3 linked regions of the Alligator mississippiensis genome follow. The protein of the gene in region 1 interacts with the protein of each later gene in a pairwise test. Links are inferred from orthologs where the notes say so. Each region holds a gene or a part of one and is shown in the gene's direction. Other genes may lie near its edges. The genes, in order: FAM168A, UBE2V1 and SS18L1.

Region 1 (3,748 bases):
TTACTACCCTCCTAGTGAGAGTTTTTCCTAATAGCCAACTTCCTAGTGAGAGTTTTTCCTAATAGCCAACTTCAATATCCTCAGCTTTCCTTGCTGCAGCTTGAGCCCATTGCTCCTTGTCCTGTCACCTGGCCCACTGAGACCAGCCCAGCTCCATCTTCTTTGCAACCCCGCTGCAGGGAGCTGAAGGCTGCTATTCAATCCCCTCAGTCTTCTCTTCTGCAGACTAAATTAGCCCAGTTCCCTCAGCCTGTCCTCATCAGTCATGGGCTCCAGCCTCCAAACCATTTTCATTGCCGTCTGCTGGACTGTCTCTAACTTGTCCGCATCCTTGCCCCGCTCTCATCCGACTGGCCACGTGTCCTATATCTACTCAAACTCCTGGGCTTTTCAGCACCCAGGTGTGTTCACTGTTCAAAATAAAGTGTGGTCACGTGGCCGACTGCAACGGGAAGGCCTGTACTTAGCAGCAGTCCTGTCACAGGGGTGGTTGGTTTTCATATGATCTGAACGGTCAGGCTTATTGCATGCTTTCTCTTTTTTCTCCGGTGGATGTCAGGTATATGTCTGTAAGCGATACCATGTTCAGGCTTGCAACAAGTTAATTCCTTTTGCAAAAAGCACTGAAGTTACACTGCTCTTTTGCCAGTTTGGCACAGGAAATCTGCTGGGATCTCAAGTGTAATGCTCTGTCAGTGAAGTCTCCTGTCCTTTTTTTAGATTCAGCATGCCATTCTGATGGGTAAAACAGCTTTTTTTTTAATTATTTAAATGAGCTACTTGGTTGCATGGAGTTACTAATTTGATATGGGTTTGGTACGTTTCTGTACACGTGGGAGTAAAAGGACTCTTTTGCCAATTCGAAGCTGGTGGCTTCTCTCTTTCCTCACGTGATTTATGGATTGGAGTGACCTGGAGGATCTCCAGCACTTTGCTCCTGTCCAGCTGGTGCATCTGCCTTCCTCCTAGCTCTTCATTTCTTATTTTTAAGTCCCTTTTTGCTCTCCACAGCAGCTGTTACAATCAGCTTATGCACTGGGCACCTCTCCTCTTGTCCGCCAGGTTTGGAGCCAGGCTACAGAAAGAAGATTGATACACATGTTCTGGATTCTCCCCATTATTTTTTTTCCTGCCTCCTTTCAAAAGGCAGCAAGAGCTCTGGATCTGGAAACGGATAACACTCAAGAGGATCAGCCCCCCAAAGGATAAGGCTTCAGAGAGTTCCCTGGGCTCTAGAAACTGTATGAAATGGTGAGTAAAATCCTTTGCATCATAAGCAGGCACGGTTCTTTGGGTAGATGTGATATCAAAGATCCTGGCCTGCCTGTGTCCTTAGAGCGACACGGCAACAACCAAAACCCAGTTTGCATCATAAGAGTGCTCGCTACATGCCTAGACCAGGAGCTGTCACATAAAGGAAGCAAGGTAGCAGCGCAGAAAGAAATCACGATCCTTTTTGCTATATTTCAGCACTGGTGAGGTCACATCTGGAGTCCCGTGTCCAGGTTTGAGCCACCCACTGCAGAAAGCATGTGGGCACATTGGAGAGAGTTCAGTGGAGGGCAATAAAAATGGTTTGAGAACATGATTTGTGAGGAGAGGCTGGGGGAACTGGGTTTATCAAGTCCGGAGAAGAGCAGATTGAGTGGGGATTTGATAGCAGCCTTCAACTCCCTGCAGTGGGGTTGCAAAGAGGATGGAGCTGGACTGTTCTCAGTGGGGGCAGATGTCAGGACGAGGAGCAATGGGCTCAAGTTGCGGCAGGGGAAGCTGAGGTTAGATATTCGGAAAAACTTTCTCACTAGGAGGGTAGTAAAACACTGGAACAGGTTACCCAAAGAGGTTGCAGACTCTCCATCCTTGGAGGTTTTGAAGACTTGGCTAGACAAAGCCTTGGCTGGGATGATGTAGTTGGGGCCGGTCCTGCTTTGAGCAGGGGTTGGACTACGTGTGACCTCTAGGTGTCCCTTCCACCCCTCATTTTCTATGATTCTGTGCTTTTCTAGGTGAAACACATTTTTCCCCTTCATGTGAGACACTGCGTCATGTTATTGAGTCCTTGGGCTCTGCCTACAAGGCCAGCTTTTCTTGTCCATGTACCTAGATCTTCTCACAGGCACCATTATACTCTCCTCCTGTTAAAATAAAGCTTTGACATTATCCTCCTTCAGGTCCCTCTTTAAAACTCATCTTTCCTGTAATGGTCTGTATCCACTTGTTTCTCAGAGACGAGGAAGAGCATTTTGTGCCTGAAACCTGGTCTAACATCTCACCCAACTATCTAGTTAGTCCAGTAAAAATATTACCAAACAACTCTTGCTTCTGTAAAACACATGGTGAGGCGGCTGTTCATTTTGTGAATTGTTACTATTGTATTGTTTCTTTGCTCTCCTTTTCTCTCTCTAAATGAGTTCATTTTGTGGGTGTTTTGTGTCTTGGCGTATGCTAAGTCTGGGAAATCTTTGGAGCCATAATGTGCAATGGGGCCCTGATCCAGTATAAATAATAGATGGCTGCATTCTGGGAGCACTAATCCCCACTAAGAATGTCACTGTCCAGCAGCTCGTGTGCTGTAAGAATTGTTAGACAGGAACCACTCACCAGAATGAGCTCCCACGTTCAAAGTATAAAGGACAGAGCCACTTGAACATCAGTAGAGCCCACTTCACAGAGTAACCTCTCCCTTTCTGTCCTCACAATCCTTCCTTGTGCTCAAAGGGAATTCAGAAAACACTCCTAGGTGAGGGGTCTGAGAATAGAAATGTATAAGCCCATTGGACAGTAAAAAATCTGGACTCAATACAGACAGCCACTTTATGGCTCATTACAACCTAACAAATGCTGTTGTTAATCTCCCTTCACATCACAGGTAATAACTTCCCTTTGTCTTCTCAAATGGTCTCACTCTTCCACTAACTAGATTGCCTGTGCTTATGCACCTTTTTGTCCTAGAACAGCTCCTGATAACACCTCTTCACGTCTAGTTCACAGCCTCCTCCATCCCTCCAAGTAGACTTTGCAATTAAATGGAGTCTTTTCTCTGCTGTTGAGTTCAGTCTGTCTGCCTCTTTTTTTTTTTACACCTGAGGAAGGGCACTTGATGCCTAAAAGCTTGTCCAACAGCTCTCCCAACTATACAGTTGGTCCAATAGATGTTATTACAAAACATCCTTGCCTCTGGACTTTTGGCAGTGATGATGCTAACTGAATATCCTGGTCTGAAAGTGTATTTAAAGTAAGTGTTAACGAAGGAGAAATTCAGAGTTTCAGTTGCTCCGGCCTATTGATCTTGAGAGTCACCAACCAGGTGTGGCTGAAGACCAAGAAGTCTGCTTTGATGCATCTGTCCTGTAGGGTTATTGCAATTTAAGGCCACTGTATAGTCTTTAGAATTGAGTTTCTTCCTTTCTTTAGTGTTTTTAATGATGGGTAGAGCTGGATGTGATTCAAGACTTGATGTTTTGTATGAACCAGCTCATTTTCATCTTGAGTTAAAACTGAACTAAACAGAAGCTTTGTAAAATTCCACCCGTGCTTCTCCAACAAACATAGTGGGTTCCTTTCCCAACCACATCCATTGCATTTGCTTATGATTGTGTTTACAGGGCTCACTTTTCACTCTGCTTATGAAAGAATTGCTGTTCCTGTGCTTCAGTAGTTTACTGGCTGAGAGTGTAATTAAAATGTTTGTTTGAAAAGCATTTAATTAGAATTCTTTCTGTAGGCAAACTCTGAGATTCAGTGGTGA
Region 2 (3,748 bases), on another chromosome or scaffold:
CAGCACGGCTCTGACCCCCCATTCAGGTTGATTTGCCCCCCCTGTAGCTGGAGCACGTCCCCCATGGAGCACTTTGCCACTGCCTCTGTTCAGCCCCTGCCTGCAGGAGTCGCTGCTGCTGCTTGGGTGTCCTCTGCCAACAGCCACTGGCCAAACGTGAAGGATGCCCAGCATGGCCAGGTCCTTAAATATGAAATTATCCTATTGGAAGCTCAAAATTATAGCGTTTGCTAGAAAACTATTGTACACTGAAAAACTATGCAAACGAGTCTTCTTTACCTTGTATTGCTCACTGTAAGTCACCACCGAGCGAGAACTGGGCCCAAGTTGAAGCCTTTCTTTATTTCGAAGCAAGCGGTCATGAGAAAGCACTGACAGCAAACCCAGGAGCTGGATAAGACTCCCTGAGAGTGACTCAGGTTTTGCATACACTGCATTGATTGGCAGCCCCAAAAACTATCCACACTTTGAATACTTCTACTGTTAGTGGTCATCAGGGATCCTGGTTAAAAAACAAACACCCAGTTTTCAAATTTAAAAAACATAACCCAAAATCCACATTTTTCCATGACTAAAATGAAATGCCTATCTATCTATCTAGGTGTTTCATTTTATATAAAGGAAAAAAAAGAAAAAGAGCGAGTAAAAAAGGAAAAGGAAAAAGAGTAGAAAAGGAAAAAGTTAAAAAGAAAAAGTAAAAAAGAAAAAGGAAAGTAAAAAATGAAAAAGGGAGTAAAAAAGGAAAAGAGTAAAAAAGTAAAGGACAAAGTCAAAAAAAGGAAAATGAAAAAATAAAAAAATACAAAGGAAAGTTTTTTTTTTAAAAAGTAGTGTTTCATTTTAATCACGGAAAAATTTGGATTTTGGGTTCGTTTTTAAATCCGAAAATTGGGGATCCTTTCTATCAGAAAAGCAGGCTCCCTGTTGCTCGCACGTCGCACAAGGGTTGCAATAATCGCGCACCTGACAACCCCGAGGACGCTGCTCTCCGGCCCGCCCGCACGGCTTATTCCCCCTCCCACGCTCCGTGCAACGCAAAAACGCCCTTCCCGAGGCCTGCCGGCCAGCCCCGCCCAGCTTCCGGACTGCGACTTTCTGCGCCCGCCCGCCCGCGGCTCCTCCCGTCTCGTCCCATCAAGCCGCAGTTCGCGCGTGGCGGTGACGCGGCGGAAGGGGCGGGCTCGGAGCGGCAGCGGCGCAAGATGGCGGCCACCACGGGCTCGGGTGAGCGGGGCCGGGCAGCCGGCCGGGACCGGGGCGGGGGGCGCCGCGCGGGGCGGGGGTTCAGGCCGCGCTCCCTACTCCTACTCCTGCCCCTGCCCGCGGGGTTGTGGCGGGGCAGCGCAGCCCGGGCCCGCGTCCGTGTCTTGCCGGTGCGGGGCCTCAACACCCGCCGGCTGGGCCCGCCCGCTGCCGCGTCCCCCGGACCCGGACCCGGCCCCGGGCCCACTCGCTGCCCTGGGCCGACACCGCTGCGCCTGGAGCCGGCCCACCCGAGGGCCCCGAGCTGGGGTTTGCCGCCTGAGGGTTTGTCCCCCCACCCCACTCCTGGCCTGGCTGGGCCCTGCCGGCGCCCGGGTCCTGATGCCGCCGAAACCCCGGCGCAGCGTCGGCCGGCGATGCCCACAGGAGAGATTCGCCGCCTTGCCCAGCGCCGCCCGCTTCGCTTTTAAGCAGAGTAACGGATAGAAGTGAAACAGAGTCAAATGAGTTTCACTTTTGGGTACTAATTTCTGCTGTGCCTGGGTTGCAGTTTTGGCCTCCAGGATTTGTTTCAAGTGGTTCCCACCAAATTTTAAAACGAAGCAGGTCCTTCAAGGGGAATCCCTCGTCTTGACCGAGGAAACGAAGAGGATCTTCATTTTTCTCTTGAGGCCGTAGCTATTTCCGTAGATGGTCTTCTAACAAGAGCGATCACTCAAAAGAGAAGGATTTTAAAAATGTGCGAGCAGTGCAGTAGCAGTTGTTACGAGGCCTGTATTTTGCAGATCTGTGTTTAAAAGTCCTCGTAATCCCAATACCGCTGGTTTTTCTGCGCTTGTGCGGTTTGTATTCTAGGAGACCCGTGTTGAAACGCCCAGCACAGGATGTGAAATTGAGACAGGGCCTTATCGGCTTCTTGTGTCACTCCAGCAGGCCGCCGTATTTCTCCAATAATCTTTTGCAGCTTCTGACTTTTCTTCCATTTACATTTGGCTGGAAGAACAAGGCATGTGTCTTTCTTTTTAAGTCAGTGCAGCTCCATGAATTCGTTGTTTGGGTGCGGATGGAGAGGTCATGTAAGATTATTGAGACATTTTTAAACTCGCCTCGATACAGGGCTTCCATAGGGTATTTCAGCCGCACCCCTGGTAGATCTGACTCGATCTATCTCAACTCCCCGTTGAGAGATGCTGTGAGTGTGTAGTTAAGTGCAGAAAATCGGCCGGGCGGCCCCTTTTGTGTCACGTCCCGTCGTTTTTCATGTGATTCTAAAAGTGCTGCTGCTTTATCGGCTCTGCAGAATTGGAAGTGGGAAGTTTGTACTTCAGGTAACGTACAGCTAGGGAAGAACAAATAGGTGTGGCAACATACATACTTATTCAGGCATCTGGTGACAGACATATTTAACCTGCTGCTGGTAGGGTTTTGTTTGTACCTTTCCTTTTGGCAAAAGCTTTGAAAATCAGTGTATAACTTTTCAACACAGTTACGTGAACGCTGAGCCTTTGTAGACAGCTCTGAATTTGGATTTGAAAAATCCAAGTGAGCAACTCCATTTAAATGCAACTGTGAGCTGGTCCAGCTGGTAACTGATGCGGCTCTTTATTCTTGGTGATAAAGCCCACCCTGTGACTACTGATTAGGTTATTAGACTGTCCTTTTCTGCTAAAAGGAACAGTTATGTCCCGTCCCTTTCAGTAATATTACAGTGGCACTGCAGTGCAGTTTGTATTGTACTTTTTTTGATGCTAAAAGTTTTGGATGTGGTGTTGTCTATTGGGTACAGGGACAAGGGAAAGATCAATCCCTTGATATTTATTTATAGTCACCAATTCATGGTGGGCTTTGGGCAAGGAGTGTAATGATCTTTCTTATTTATAAACAAGTTTTACAAATACTTGTTTTACAAAAACCTTTAAATGTGTGCCTATTTGTTTGTAAAACATGTGGATCTGTTTGCTTCTCTTGGAAGTAGCTGAATTCCAAAGGTATATGTCCAATCTCATTAAAAATTTCTAGTTGTAGAACAAATGAAAAGGCAGCATACGTTAGCCCTGTATTTCTATAGAAGGCTGCAAGGGTGATTTTGGAAATGAACAAGAAAGCCATACACCATCTAACAAATGGGTTGAAATGCTTAAAAATTAGAATAATAAAACACCTGGAAAGAAATTATAGGAGAGTCTAGCAGCATGACTTCTGGAAAGGAAAACCGCACTACTCTGAGAATTCATTGAACATACAAATAAAGGGGAACCAGGTGACTTGAAGACTCTCAAAAGGCCATGACTGGGTTTCTTGAGGGGTGAAAGCTATGTCTGTGCTATAGACAGCGCGGTATAGGGATTCTTGAGCTAGCTAGTGTATTGGAAGTAGTATGGTTGTGGCAACAGGGAGCTCTGCGTGGGTTAATATTCCTGTTAAACAGCAAGGTACAGTAGCCTGGCAGAGCTTCATGCTGCCATGTCAGCTAATGTACTTTGTTGCTCAGTGAGAAAATTAGCCTGTGCAGAGCTCCAGGCTGCCCCAGCTATAGTTTGATGGA
Region 3 (3,748 bases), on another chromosome or scaffold:
GTCAGGACAGGCCCGGCGGCACACTCACCGCGGTGGAGCCCTTCTTGACGGCCTCCTGCGCGTACTCGACCTGGAAGAGGTGGCCGTCGGGAGAGAAGACGGTGATGGCGCGGTCGTAGCTCATGGCGGCCCCGGCGCTGCCTCAAATCCGCACACTCACCGCCCGCCCCGCCCCTTCCGGCGGACCGCCCCGCCCCTTCCGGCGGCCCTTCCGCTGTCACGCGCCTGGCCTACGCCTTCTGCTTCCTGTGCGCCAACTGCGTAGGCGCTGCGTTTCCCCACCCCCCTTCATGTTCTACCTTACGCACTTGGCGTACATACCTGCGTGTCTCCCACCCCCCCGTTTAACGTAGCCGCCGGGTTTATCAAGGTGGAGGATTTCCTCTCCGCTCTTGGCGTACACGCGTTCTTTGCCTACGCCATTGACGTAGTTATCAAGGTGAAGTTATCCCACGCACTTTGCGTAGGAGCGGGCATGATTTCCCTCCCCCCTCCGGCTTCACGCTGCACTCCACGCACTTGGCGTACATGCCGCCTTCCCTACGCACTTGGCGCACCTGGCTGCCGCTGCTCGCCTGCGCCAGGAAGCCGGGGCGCGGGACGCACCATGTGCAGCGGCGTGGGGGGGAGCGGGGGAGGGGCTCTGCGGTGGGCACCGCCCCCGCCCCCCCCCCGGACCCGAGCCGCTGGGCCCCCCCGGCGCGCGGGGCTGTGGCAGAGGGGCGCGGGGGGCGGGGCCGGCGCGGGGGGCCGCGGGGCGGGGCGTGGGATGTACCATGTGCGCCGGCCACCCCCGCGCACTGCGGACAGCCCGGCGCGGCGGCGGCGCCGATCGCAACCGTGAGCGCGGGGCCGGGGCCGTGCCAGGGACCCGCCCCCCCCCGCCCCCGCCCCCGCCGGCATGTCGGTCGCCTTCGCCTCCGCCCGGCCCAGGGCCAAGGGCGAGGTCACGCAGCAAACCATCCAGAAGGTGAGGGGGGGGGCATCGCCTCACGGCCCGGGGGGGAGGGGGTCACAGCCGGGGGTGGGGGATGGGGGCTTCATCCATTATTCACCCGGGCACGGCGGGGGGGTGAGCGCCGCCGCCGTCACCACCACGGTCCTGCGGTACGGTCACCATCCGTGTGAGCATAGCGTTATTACCGGGGGTATTCGCGTTATTAGCAGTAGTGCTGGCATGATCGTCACTGTTACTATTAGTGTTGGCATTATTAGTATTATCAGCGTTATTAGCATTATTAGTAGTATTAGTATTAATAGTATCAGTATTGGCATTGTTAGCATTGGCTTAGTATCATTAGTATTAGTGTTATTACTAGTATTAGTATCACTAGCATTATTATTGGTATTGACATTATTATTACTAGTATTATTTCTATTATATTACAAGTATTATTATTATTATTATATTACTAGTATTAGTAGTAATAATAATACATTGTTATTATATTACTAGTAGTAGTAATAATAATGCATTGTTATTATTACTGCTACTAGTATTAGTATTGTCAGCATTAGTATTGGTTTAGTATCATTAGCATTATTAATAGTATTGGCGTTATTACTAGTATTAGTATCATCAGCATTACTATTACTATTGGTATTATCAGCGTTACTATTAGTATTGGCTTTATTAGCATTAGTATTAGTGCATTATTAGTATTAGTAGTAGTATCAGTGTTGTTAGTGCTAGTATCAGTGTTATTGTTAGTATTGGTATTATCAGCATTATTGGTATTGCCATTATTATTAGTATTGGCATTATCAGCATTGTTAGTAGCATTGGCATTATTAGTATTAGTATCAGCATCATCAGCATTATTATTAGTATTGTTATTTGTATTAGTATCATCATCAGCATTATTATTAGTATTGTTATTTGTATTATCATTAGTATCATTATCAGCATTATTATTATTATTATTGTCATGTGCGGTTGCACTCGTCGTGGCTTAACGCCAAAGGGCAGAGGTTTCGAGGGGCTTTCTCATCGGGCTCGGTCCCTGCTGGGCTTCCCTACAGAAGCGGGTGCTGAGGGGACCCACTTGGGAAGTTCGGGGGATGCTTTTGTAGGAGAAGACGCGCGAGGGTGATGGGCAGGGGGGAAGGAGCCCCTCCCAGGCCCTGCTGCCGTCCCCGGGGATAACGGAAGAGGTGTGGAGGTGTCAATAAAGAGCGTGTCTGTGCTGTCGATTGGTTTTGCTGAACAATGCCTGTCATGCCCAGCTCCAGCCTGCGTGCTCTGTGTTTGCCCTATTGCGATGTGCGGGGGGGGTTGCGTTGTGCGGGAAGGGATGAAGGTCTGATGTAGTCCATTTGTAAAGGATAATGGCGAACAAAAAAAGGTGTCAGCTCTCAGCAATCAGCTGTTTAGGAGGATTTCCTGCAGTCCAGCTAGCATCTAGTGCCAGGCTGTGAATTCTGGGGCAATGCGTTTTGCTGGAGGACGAGGTCAAGATTCAGGAAAATGAAGGCAGAACAAAGTACCCCGAGAGAGATGTTAGAATCTCGCATCTCTAAATGCCAGGAGAGCATTTGGAAACTCGTTCCATTTTGCCTAATTCTTGGAGCATGTGAGACGTTGTCATCAGACCCACTTCATTTCAGAGGCTAAAATATTTAGACAGCAGTGGCAAAAGGTGCAGCTTTATCCTTTATCTGGATTTTTGTGGGTTTAAGGCAGAATTTCACATCCTGTGTAGGTTAGTCTTTTAAGTTCATTTTCAAGGTTTCAGTGTAAAGGACAGTCGTAATCTCTTAATTGTCCACGCACTTTCCCTCCTGTCCGTGATAAACCTAGTAATAGTTTGGGGCTGCAGTCTGTTTCTTGGAAATATATAAAAATCTTTTCCTCTGACAAGTACACTCCATGCTTTCTACATTAGGCTTGCTCCTTGAGTTCTTGATTCTTGGCAGTGATGGTCTTTTTTGAAAAGCACTGACGCTTTTATCTGAAAACAAATGCATAAAAAAATTAACTTGACTTTGCCGTCATATATGGGGGGCAGGGCGGAATCTAATTTTGGGGCAGGAAATTGCAACAGTGTGCGTTCATCAGAAGTCAGACTTTATAGTAAAAGATATTTTTCACAAAGATGCTTGTTTTCGGCTCATGTTTGAATACACAAGCAGCTAGTTTTTATGATGCATGCTACTGACTTGCTTTCAAAAGCTCCTTTCAAGCCTTTATCCTTCCGAAGCTAACTATAATCCTTATACAAAACTTCATGTGAGGAAAGTGAAAGACTGTAGGATTGCAGATTGACTGTAGCTCATGGAACAGCAATGGGCATTAATATTAACCTTCGATTTACTTCTCTGACAGATTAGAGCCTACTTCTTTTTAGCAGTGTTATACTACAGTTATTCTCTGGTCTTTTTGCAACAAACAGTTGTGTTGCTTGGATTGTCAGCACTGAATACACATCCAGAGGTGACGTTTGATCCTTAAACCGTCTTACTAGACATGAGGATGCCAGCAGCTGAGCTGTTCATTAATATTGGAAAATATTTTGAGGGTCCTAAGATGATTACAGTTTTTCAGGAAAAATGATCCTCTCCACTCAGTTGCAGAGAATTGTATTAGACTTTCCACAGAATATCTCCATCTACATCATCGTAGGTTCGACACAAACAGTGAGTCAAATGAAATCAGAGCTTTGTTGGGAATATTTTGATTTCAGAGGTTATTTCCCAGATGCCATGCATCCGGACACCATGCCCAAACCATACAGGAGACGCATGAATC

What was found.
Region 2: the proteins of FAM168A (region 1) and UBE2V1 interact in binary tests that used the Homo sapiens proteins (3 or more experiments, as listed by UniProt). The two-hybrid records come from large-scale screens. The link is inferred for Alligator mississippiensis from reciprocal best matches to the Homo sapiens genes FAM168A and UBE2V1.
Region 3: the proteins of FAM168A (region 1) and SS18L1 interact in binary tests that used the Homo sapiens proteins (3 or more experiments, as listed by UniProt). The two-hybrid records come from large-scale screens. The link is inferred for Alligator mississippiensis from reciprocal best matches to the Homo sapiens genes FAM168A and SS18L1.

What each region holds. Positions count from the first base shown.
Region 1 is NC_081824.1:467,259,797-467,263,544, forward strand, and holds the start of FAM168A (protein FAM168A), read left to right. Parts: upstream 1-1,077; 5' UTR 1,078-1,248; coding exon 1,249-1,251; intron 1,252-3,748.
Region 2 is NC_081832.1:13,258,147-13,261,894, forward strand, and holds the start of UBE2V1 (ubiquitin-conjugating enzyme E2 variant 1), read left to right. Parts: upstream 1-1,120; 5' UTR 1,121-1,202; coding exon 1,203-1,224; intron 1,225-3,748. UniProt on the Homo sapiens protein: Has no ubiquitin ligase activity on its own. The UBE2V1-UBE2N heterodimer catalyzes the synthesis of non-canonical poly-ubiquitin chains that are linked through Lys-63.
Region 3 is NC_081832.1:5,945,480-5,949,227, reverse strand, and holds the start of SS18L1 (calcium-responsive transactivator), read left to right. Parts: upstream 1-842; 5' UTR 843-901; coding exon 902-970; intron 971-3,748. Other genes in the region: PSMA7 (proteasome subunit alpha type-7), read right to left, coding at 29-124. UniProt on the Homo sapiens protein: Transcriptional activator which is required for calcium-dependent dendritic growth and branching in cortical neurons. Recruits CREB-binding protein (CREBBP) to nuclear bodies.